2 linked regions of the Canis lupus familiaris genome follow. The protein of the gene in region 2 binds, or shares a complex with, the protein of the main gene of each other region. Links are inferred from orthologs where the notes say so. Each region holds a gene or a part of one and is shown on either strand. Other genes may lie near its edges. The genes, in order: NIFK and MKI67.

Region 1 (4,501 bases), on a different chromosome or scaffold from region 2:
CCAAAACCAAAACCCTAACATTCAATAAAAAGGGGGATACTTTAATATATTCAAGCAAAAGAGATCCCTGGGTGGCTCAGCAGTTTAGCCCTTGCCTTTGGCCCAGGGCCTGATCCTGGAGTCCCATGATTGAGTCCCACATCAGGCTCCCTGCATGGAGCCTGCTACTCCCGGTCTGTGTCTCTCATGAATAAATAAAATCTTAAAAAAAAAAAAAAAATATATATATTCAAGCAAAAGAACACAGCGATAACAAATGTACTCGAATTATGCAAACACAGTCCAGAATATTGTTAATGAAAAAATCGAGGGATCCCTGGGTGGCGCAGTGGTTTGGCGCCTGCCTTTGGCCCAGGGCGCGATCCTGGACACCCGGGATCGAATCCCACGTCGGGCTCCCGGTGCATGGAGCCTGCTTCTCCCTCTGCCTGTGTCTCTGCCTCTCTCTCTCTCTGTGTGACTATCATAAATTAAAAAAAAAAAAAAAAAAAAAAAAAATCGAGTTAAAGAATGATAAAATATAGACTTAAATATACAATATATATTCTTTCATGAATGTGAAGTAAGAAAAAAAACAGTAACAAAAATCACTGGATTCATGAATTCTCTGGACATGGGGAAAAAGAGGATTGGGGAAGGGTACAAAAGTGACTTCAATCCTACTTACGAAACAAGTATGAAATCAAGTTGACATTTTATAAAAATGGTGGATTACCGAATAGCCATTAAATACTCCAGCGTACTTATGTTTAAAATACCTCACCCACATGTTATGCAATCATTATAAATAGGCAAATGTAAAAACAAGGGGGAGGAACACAGACAAAATCTTATTTTGCTTAGGATAAGAGATACTAGGGCATTTTAAATTTAAGTTACTCATTATCATTATTTTTTAAGATTTTAATTATTTATTTGAGAGAGGGTGAGAGCACAAGCAGAGGGTGAGGGGGAGGGGGAGAGAGAGAGAGAGGGAGAAGCAGGCTCCCTGTTAAGCAGGGAGCCTGACTCTGGCCAATCTCAGGACTCTGGGATCATGACCCTAGCTGAAGGCAGACGCCTGACTGAGCCACCTGCCCCTTAAAATCACAACATATTATCTGTGATTTTATGACAACTAACAGATGATGGATGTGTACCCTACCCTTCAGATACCAAATCAAATACAAAATTTAACTTTGAGGGGCAGCCCCAGGGGCGCAGCGGTGTAGTGCTGCCTGCAGCCTGGGGCATGATCCTGGAGATCCCGGATCGAGTCCCTCATTGGGCTCCCTGCATGGAGCCTGCTTCTCCTTCTGCCTGTGTCTCTGCCTCTCTCTCTCTGTGTACCTCTATGAATAAATTAAAAAAGAATTAACTTTGATAAAATTTGGAAAAACAGCATAAAGAAAAAAAAGCTTCCAAGAGTGAGAGGTCTATGATTACAAAACAGGATGCGAGCAAGGAAGAGAATAAAGTGGCCACTCCTCTACTTCAGTAACAAACCTACAAGCTTTTTCTTTAGTAGGAGTTAGGTTCAGTGTAACAATAACATTTAGAAAAGGTTTACTGTTTAAGGTTTTGTTCTAAGAAATCTGCATTTGTTACCTTTGTTTATTCCTTTCACCTAGGAGGTGGATGGTATTTTATTCATATTTTACAGAATAGAAAACTGAAACATAAAAAAAAAAAAAAAAAAAAAAGAAAAGAAAACTGAAACATGGGAAAATTACATAATTTGTCCAGGACCACACAATTAGTGATCTGTACAGCCAGGGCTCAAACCTAGGTGGTCTGGCTTCGATGTCCTTATTCTTAAGAACTCACTATACTACAAGATGTTCATACCTGCCCTTCAAACTGAAGCTTGTGTGCACCCGGCTTAGTAGCCACAGAATAAGGATGATTCATTTATTAGGGTTATCAATTTAATTTGAGAATTTGGTGCAATTTTAAAAGGAAAAGAAACATTAACAGTAATATGGATTTTGCTCTTTTCATTTTCAGGTTCTAAATCTTACGTGAAAAAAAAAAATAAATCTTACGTGTCCCACTCCCCCTTTTTTTTAAAGGTTTTATTTATTCATTCATGAGAGAGAGAGAGAGAGGCAGAGACACAGGCAGAGGGAGAAGCAGGCTCCATGCACCGGGAGCCCGACGTGGGATTCGATCCCGGGTCTCCAGGATCGCGCCCCGGGCCAAAGGCAGGCGCTAAACCGCTGCGCCCCCGGGCTGCCCCCTACCTCCCTTTCTGAAATAAGCTGTGCTCAACGATGATATAGGACCACCCTCCGTAAATGGTAAACACTTACATACTCGTAAGAAATAAGACAATCTAATTCGATCTTACCCTTTTACTTCTGGACAGCCTGAATCTTGTAACAGTGCCAAACTGGGAGAAATAGGCCCGGATCTGGGTTTCATAAAGTGCTGGAGGTAAGTGGCCCACGTAGATCACGCCGGGGGTCAGTTTTTCTTTCTCCTTTTGCTGGGGACACACAGACCAGACAAACGCAACTTTTTAAAAGTCACCTTGCGACACGATGTGCAAAACCCCTACTTCTCAGTGCAAAATCCTGCCCGCACCTCCGCGTGCACAGGAGTCCGATGTCGGCGTCGGCGTGCCGCGGGCGGGCTCTGTGCGGGCCGGGCCGCCGCCCCCGCCGCCCCCCGCACCGCCCCCCGGGCCCTAGCGTCCAGGGCCGCCGCTCCGGACTTTCCTAGGCGCGTACTTTATGCTCAAGGACAAGGCAGGTGCGACTTGCCGCCACGGCCCCGTCAGTCCGGGGAACTCGGCCAACCCCGCCTCCGGAGGTCTCAACCCCGCAGCCGGGCCGGGCCGGGCCGCCTCCGCTCCGGAACCCCCCGGCCGGCGGTCGGCTCCCGGGGCACGGCGGCCTCCCAGCTCGGGGGCTGCTCACCTGGGCCGCTCGCCGGCAGGCCTGCGTCACCTCCTTCCGAAACTTGGCCTCCTCCTGCGGGTTCAGCGACAGGAACGGCTTGGCAGGGCCGGCAAGCGCCGCCATGGCGACCGGCCACCCGGCCCGAGCGCTCCACGCGGCGCCGCCGGAACCCGCCGCCCTCGGCGCCTCCGAGGCGGAAGCGGAGGCGGCGGACGTGCGCGGCAGGCGCGGGGGCGGGGCCTGGGCGGGGCGGGGCGCGGCGGGCTCGGGCGCCCCCTGCTGGCCTGGCGCCGCGTGGCGCCCCCCGCAGGCCTGCCACCTTCGGCCAGTTTCAAGGAGAGGCTCGAAAATGTATAAGCCCCAAACAACATCCGCGCCCTTGAGGTATTGCTGATCATTCTTTAATTATTTTTTATTTTCTTCCTTCCACGCAGGCACTCTTTAAAGCCCATGCTGTGTCCTCGAGGGCGTTGCTGTCGTTAGGAGGCTGAGAGACTGGGATGGAGGTGCCGGAGGCTGCTGGGGCGCCCGTGCAGGGAGACAGCCCCGTGCGGGAGAGGCACGCTGGTGACCAGCGAGGGCCTCCCGGCATGGGACGTACTGGAGTAGAGGCCTGGAGGCCGCAGGCGCCGCGTGGGAACACCCGGAAGCTCAGGGTGCAGGTAGGGGGGACCCTCGCGCAGGGTCCTCAGAGCTGCGCGGAGAGAACCAGCGGGGCGGGGGGTGGGGGGGTCCACGGCTCGTACCTGAAGGCTTAAAGCTTGGGTTTTATTGTAAACACAAGCAGACGCGACGGTTCTATTTCAAGATTTTTTTTTTTTTTTAAAGATTTTATTTATTCAGGAGAGACACAGAGAGAGAGACGCAGACACAGGCAGAGGGAGAAGCAGGCTCCATGCGGGGAGCCCGACGTGGGACTCGATCCCGGGACTCCAGGATCACGGCCTGGGCCGGAGGCAGACGCTTAACTGCTGAGCCACCCAGGGATCCCAGATGTGAGGGTTCTAAGCAAAGCCCTGGCTGTTAATGACTTTTAAATACTGTCCCTGGCCTAACCCCCTGAACTCAAGAAAACTCCTAGGAACTTCTGCCCGTCAATCTTACTTTTTGAAAATGAACTAAGGAATTGCTGTAACAGGAAAAGAAACATTTGAGGATAATGCCTGCACAGATGAATCAGAAAGTGCCTCAGCCTCACAATAATGGTAAAATCTCACCCTGAATATTCACGCCAAGGCCTAATAAAAGGGGCCTGCTTCTCCTTGTTCAGGCAATCAAGGCTTTGGAAGTCATTCCTTGCACTCTCCTTGTTTGTACAAGTAAAGTGGCCCTGGGAGGCAACCACCTCGTACAGTTTCTGTCTATGGTTCACCGAGAAGTGGCCTTGCTTTGGTTGGTAATAATAGTACTCCAGTTAGGGTGGAGGGTGAATGGCAGATGGTAGAATGAAAACTGCAGCGGCACTCGGGTGCTCGGTGGTTGAGCGTCTGCCTTTGGCTCAGGTCATGATCCTGGGGTCTTGGGATCGAGTCCCACGTCGGGCTCCCCGCAGGGAGCCTGCTTCTCCCTCTGCCTGTGTCTCTGCCTCTCTCTGTATTTCTCATAAATAAGTAAATAAA
Region 2 (3,809 bases):
GCATTACATTTTCTGCAGGGGCCACTTTCTGCTTCGTGGTTTTATTCAACAGTTTGTTGTCTTCGTCACCACCTCCTGGTTCTGTGTGTGAGTGTGTGGCTCCCCGCCGCGTTCGGGTGGGCTTCCTGAGAGCTGACGGCTCTTCCTCTGGGTCTACTTTCTCGGGAGAGGTCTTGAGGCGCCTTCTCCTACCTGTTGGCTTGTTGACTGGTTCTGCTACTGGAGATTTGCAGGGTACACTGGTGGCTTTGCCATCAGCCATTGGGTCCTGGGTGTGCTCTGGGGTTTGGAAGAGCTCTCTGAGGCCAGCCAGGTCTTCTAAGGTCTGGACGTTTTTCTTGGGTGCTCTTGGTTGCCTCTTGCTTCCAGTTACATTTTCTGCAGAGTCCAGTTTCTGCTTTGGGATTGCCGTGGACAATTTGGTATCTTCATCACCACCTCCTGGTTGTGTGTGTGAGTGTGTGGCTCCCCGCCGCGTTCGGGTGGGCTTCCTGAGAGCTGATGGCTCTTCCTCTACATCTACTTTCTGGGGAAAGGTGTTGAGTTGCCTTCTTCTACCTGTTGGCTTGTTGACTGGTTCTGCTACTGGAGATTTGCAGGGTACACTGGTGGCTTTGCCATCAGCCATTGGGTCCTGGGTGTGCTCTGGGGTTTGGAGGAGCTCTCTGAGGCCAGCCAGGTCTTCTAAGGACTGGACATTTTTCTTGGGTGCTCTTGGCTGCCTCTTGCTTCCAGTTACATTTTCTGCAGAGTCCAGTTTCTGCTTTGGGATTGCCCTGGACAATTTGGTATCTTTGTCACCACATCCTGGTTGTGTGTGTGTGTGTGTGGCTCCCCGCCTCGTTCGGGTGGGCTTCCTGAGAGCTGATGGCTTTTCCTCTACATCCACTTTCTGGGGAAAGGTGTTGAGTTGCCTCCTTCTACCTGTTGGCTTGTTGACTGGTTCGGTTACTGGAGATTTGCAGGGCATTTTGGTGGTTTTGCCATCAGCCATTGGGTCCTGGGTGTGCTCTGGGGTTTGGAAGAGCTCTTTGAGACCAACCAGGTCTTCTAGAGAATGGGTCATTTTTTGGGGTGTTCCTGGCTGCTTCTTGCTTCCAGGTGCATTTTCTGCAAGGTTCAATTTTTGCTTTGGGGTTTTCTTGAACAATCTGATGTCTTTATCATCACCTCCTGGATCTTGCTCTGTGTGTGTGGCTTCCCCTGGCATTAGGATGGGCTTCCTGACAGGTGAGAGCTCTTTCTTTAAGTCCTCCTCCCCCAGAGGTATCTGGAGATATCTCTTCATGTGGGTTGGTGTGCTGCCTGTTTCTGCTGGTGGAGATTTGCAGGGCATTATTGTGGCTTTGACAATAGCTGTTGGTTCCTTGCTGAGCTCTGGAGTTTGGAAGAGCTCTTTAAAACCGACCATGTCTTCCAGGAATTGAGCCTTTCCTTCCTTGCTTCTAGTTACATTTTCTACAGGGTCTAGCTTCTTTGGAGTTTCCTTAGACAATTTAATGTCATCATCACCACCTTCTAGTTCTCTGCGTGAGTGTGTGCTTTCCCCCAGCATTTGGGTGGGCTTCCTGAGAGAAGAGGGCTTTTCCTCTAGGTCCACCTCCTGGACAGGGGTCTCGAGCTGCCTCCTTCTGATTGTTGGAGTGACTGAATCTGGTACTGGAGATCTGCAGGGTTCACGGGTGGTTTTGCCATCAGCCATTGGGTCTTGGCTGTGCTCTGGGGTTTGGAAGAGCTCTCTGAGGCCAGCCAGGTCTTCTAAGGACTGGGTGTTTTTCTTAGGTGTTCTTGACCTCTTCTTGCTTCCAGTTACATTCTCTGCAGAGTTCAGTTTCTGTTTTGGAGTTTGGTTAAATAATTCGCTGTCTTTATCATCACCTCCTGGTTTTCTGTGTGAGGGTGTACTTTCCCTTGGTGTTTGGGTGGACTTCCTGAGAGCTGAGGGCTCTTCTTCTAGGTCCAGTTCCTGGAGAGGGATCTCGAGCTGCCTCCTTCTACTTGTTGGTGTGTTGACTGGTTCTGCTAATGGAGATTTGCAGGGTACGCTGGTGGCTTTGCCATCAGTCATTGCTTTATCTGTTTGGTTTGGTGTTTGCAAGAGCTCTCCGAGGCCAGCCAGGTCTTCTAAGGACCGGATGCTTTTCTTAGGTGTTCTTGACCTCTTCTTGCTTCCAGTTACATTTTCTGCAGAGTCCAGTTTCTGCTTTGGAGTTTGGTTAAACAATTTGATGCCTTCATCATCACCTCCTGGTTCTCCGTATGAGTGTGTGCTTTCCCTCAGTGTTTGGGTGGGCTTCCTGAAAGCTGAGGGCTCTTCTTCTAGGTCCAATTTCTGGAGAGGGATCTCAAGCTGCCTCCTTCTACTTGTTGGTGTGTTGAATGGTTCAGCTAATGGAGATTTGCAGGGTATGTTGGTGGTTTTGCCATCAGTCATTGGGTCCTGGGTGTGCTCTGGGGTTTGGAAGAGCTCTCTGATGCCAGCCAGGTCTTCTAAGGACTGGATGTTTTTCTTAGGTGTTCTTGACCTCCTCTTGCTTCTAGTTACATTTTCTGCAGAGTACAGTTTCTGTTTTGGGGTATCCTTAAACCTTTTGATGAACTCATCATCACCTCCTGGTTCTTTATGTGAGTGTGTGTTTTTCCCCAGCGTTTGGGTGGGCTTCCTGAGAGCTGAGGGCTCTTCTTCTGGGTCTATTTTCTGGAGAGGGGTATTGATCTGCCTTCTTCTACTTGGTGTGTTGACTGGTTCTGCTAGTGGAGATTTGCAGGGTACGCTGGTGGCTTTGCCATCAGCCATTGCTTTATCTGTTTGGTTTGGTGTTTGCAAGAGCTCTCCGAGGCCAGCCAGGTCTTCTAAGGACCGGATGCTTTTCTTAGGTGTTCTTGACCTCTTCTTGCTTCCAGTTACATTTTCTGCAGAGTCCAGTTTCTGCTTTGGAGTTTGGTTAAACAATTTGATGCCTTCATCACCACCTCCTGGTTCTCCGTGTGAGTGTGTGCTTTCCCTCGGTGTTTGGGTGGGCTTCCTGAAAGCTGAGGGCTCTTCCTCTAGGCTTACTTTCTGGAGAGGGGTCTTGATCTGCCTCTTTCTGATTGTTGGTGTATTGACTGGATCTGCTAGTGGAGATTTGCAGGGTACTTTGGTGGTTTTGTCATCAGCCATTGGTTTATCTGTTTGGTTTGGTGTTTTAAAGAGCTCTCTGAAGCCAGCCAGGTCTTCTAAAGACTGGATGTTTTTCTTAGGTGTTCTTGACCTCCTCTTCCTCTTGCTTCCTGTTACATTTTCTGCAGAGTTCAGTTTCTGCTTTGGGGTATCCTTGAACCTTTTGATGCCTTCATCATCACCTCCTGGTTCTTTATGTGAGTGTGTGCTTTCCCCCAGCATTTGGGTGGGCTTCCTGAGAGCTGAGGGCTCTTCCTCTAAGCCTACTTTCTGGAGAGAGGTCTTGATCTGCCTCCTACTTGGTGTATTGACTGGATCTGCTAGTGGAGATCTGCAGGGAACTTTGGTGGTTTTGTCATCAGCCACTGGTTTATCTGTTTGGTTTGGTGTTTGCAAGAGCTCTCTGAGGCCAACCAGGTCTTCTAAGGACTGGGCAGTTTTCTTAGGTGTTCTTGACCTTCTCTTGCTTCCAGTTACAATTTCTGCAAAGTCCAGTTTCTGTTTTGGAGTTTGGTTAAATAATTTGATGTCTTCATCATCACCATCTCCTGGTTCTCTGTGTGAGTGTGTGCTTTCCCTCGGTGTTTGGGTGTGCTTCCTGAAAGCTGAGGGCTCTTCCTCTAGGCCTACTTTCTGGAGAGGGGTC

The links.
Region 1: the proteins of MKI67 (region 2) and NIFK are in contact, whole or in part, in an NMR structure (PDB 2AFF), measured with the Homo sapiens proteins. The link is inferred for Canis lupus familiaris from reciprocal best matches to the Homo sapiens genes MKI67 and NIFK. Residues at the interface, in NP_002408.3 of Homo sapiens: Thr9, Ile10, Lys11, Arg12, Ser13, Pro18, His19, Phe20, Pro21, Ser23, Leu24, Arg31, Gly32, Ile33, Glu34, Cys35, Asp36, Ile37, Arg38, Ile39, Gln40, Leu41, Pro42, Val43, Val44, Ser45, Lys46, Thr66, Asn67, Ile91; in NP_115766.3 of Homo sapiens: Val228, Asp229, Ser230, Gln231, Gly232, Pro233, Thr234, Pro235, Val236, Cys237, Phe241, Leu242, Arg245, Gln248, Val249, Leu252, Asp256, Lys257, Asp259, Glu260, Ile261, Val262, Phe263, Lys264, Gln265, Pro266, Ile267.

The regions. Positions count from the first base shown.
Region 1 is NC_049240.1:29,898,393-29,902,893, reverse strand, and holds the start of NIFK (MKI67 FHA domain-interacting nucleolar phosphoprotein), read right to left. Parts: upstream 3,076-4,501; 5' UTR 3,006-3,075; coding exon 2,901-3,005; intron 2,468-2,900; coding exon 2,330-2,467; intron 1-2,329.
Region 2 is NC_049249.1:37,276,483-37,280,291, forward strand, and holds part of MKI67 (proliferation marker protein Ki-67), read right to left. Parts: coding exon 1-3,809. UniProt on the Homo sapiens protein: Protein that associates with the surface of mitotic chromosomes and acts both as a chromosome repellent during early mitosis and chromosome attractant during late mitosis.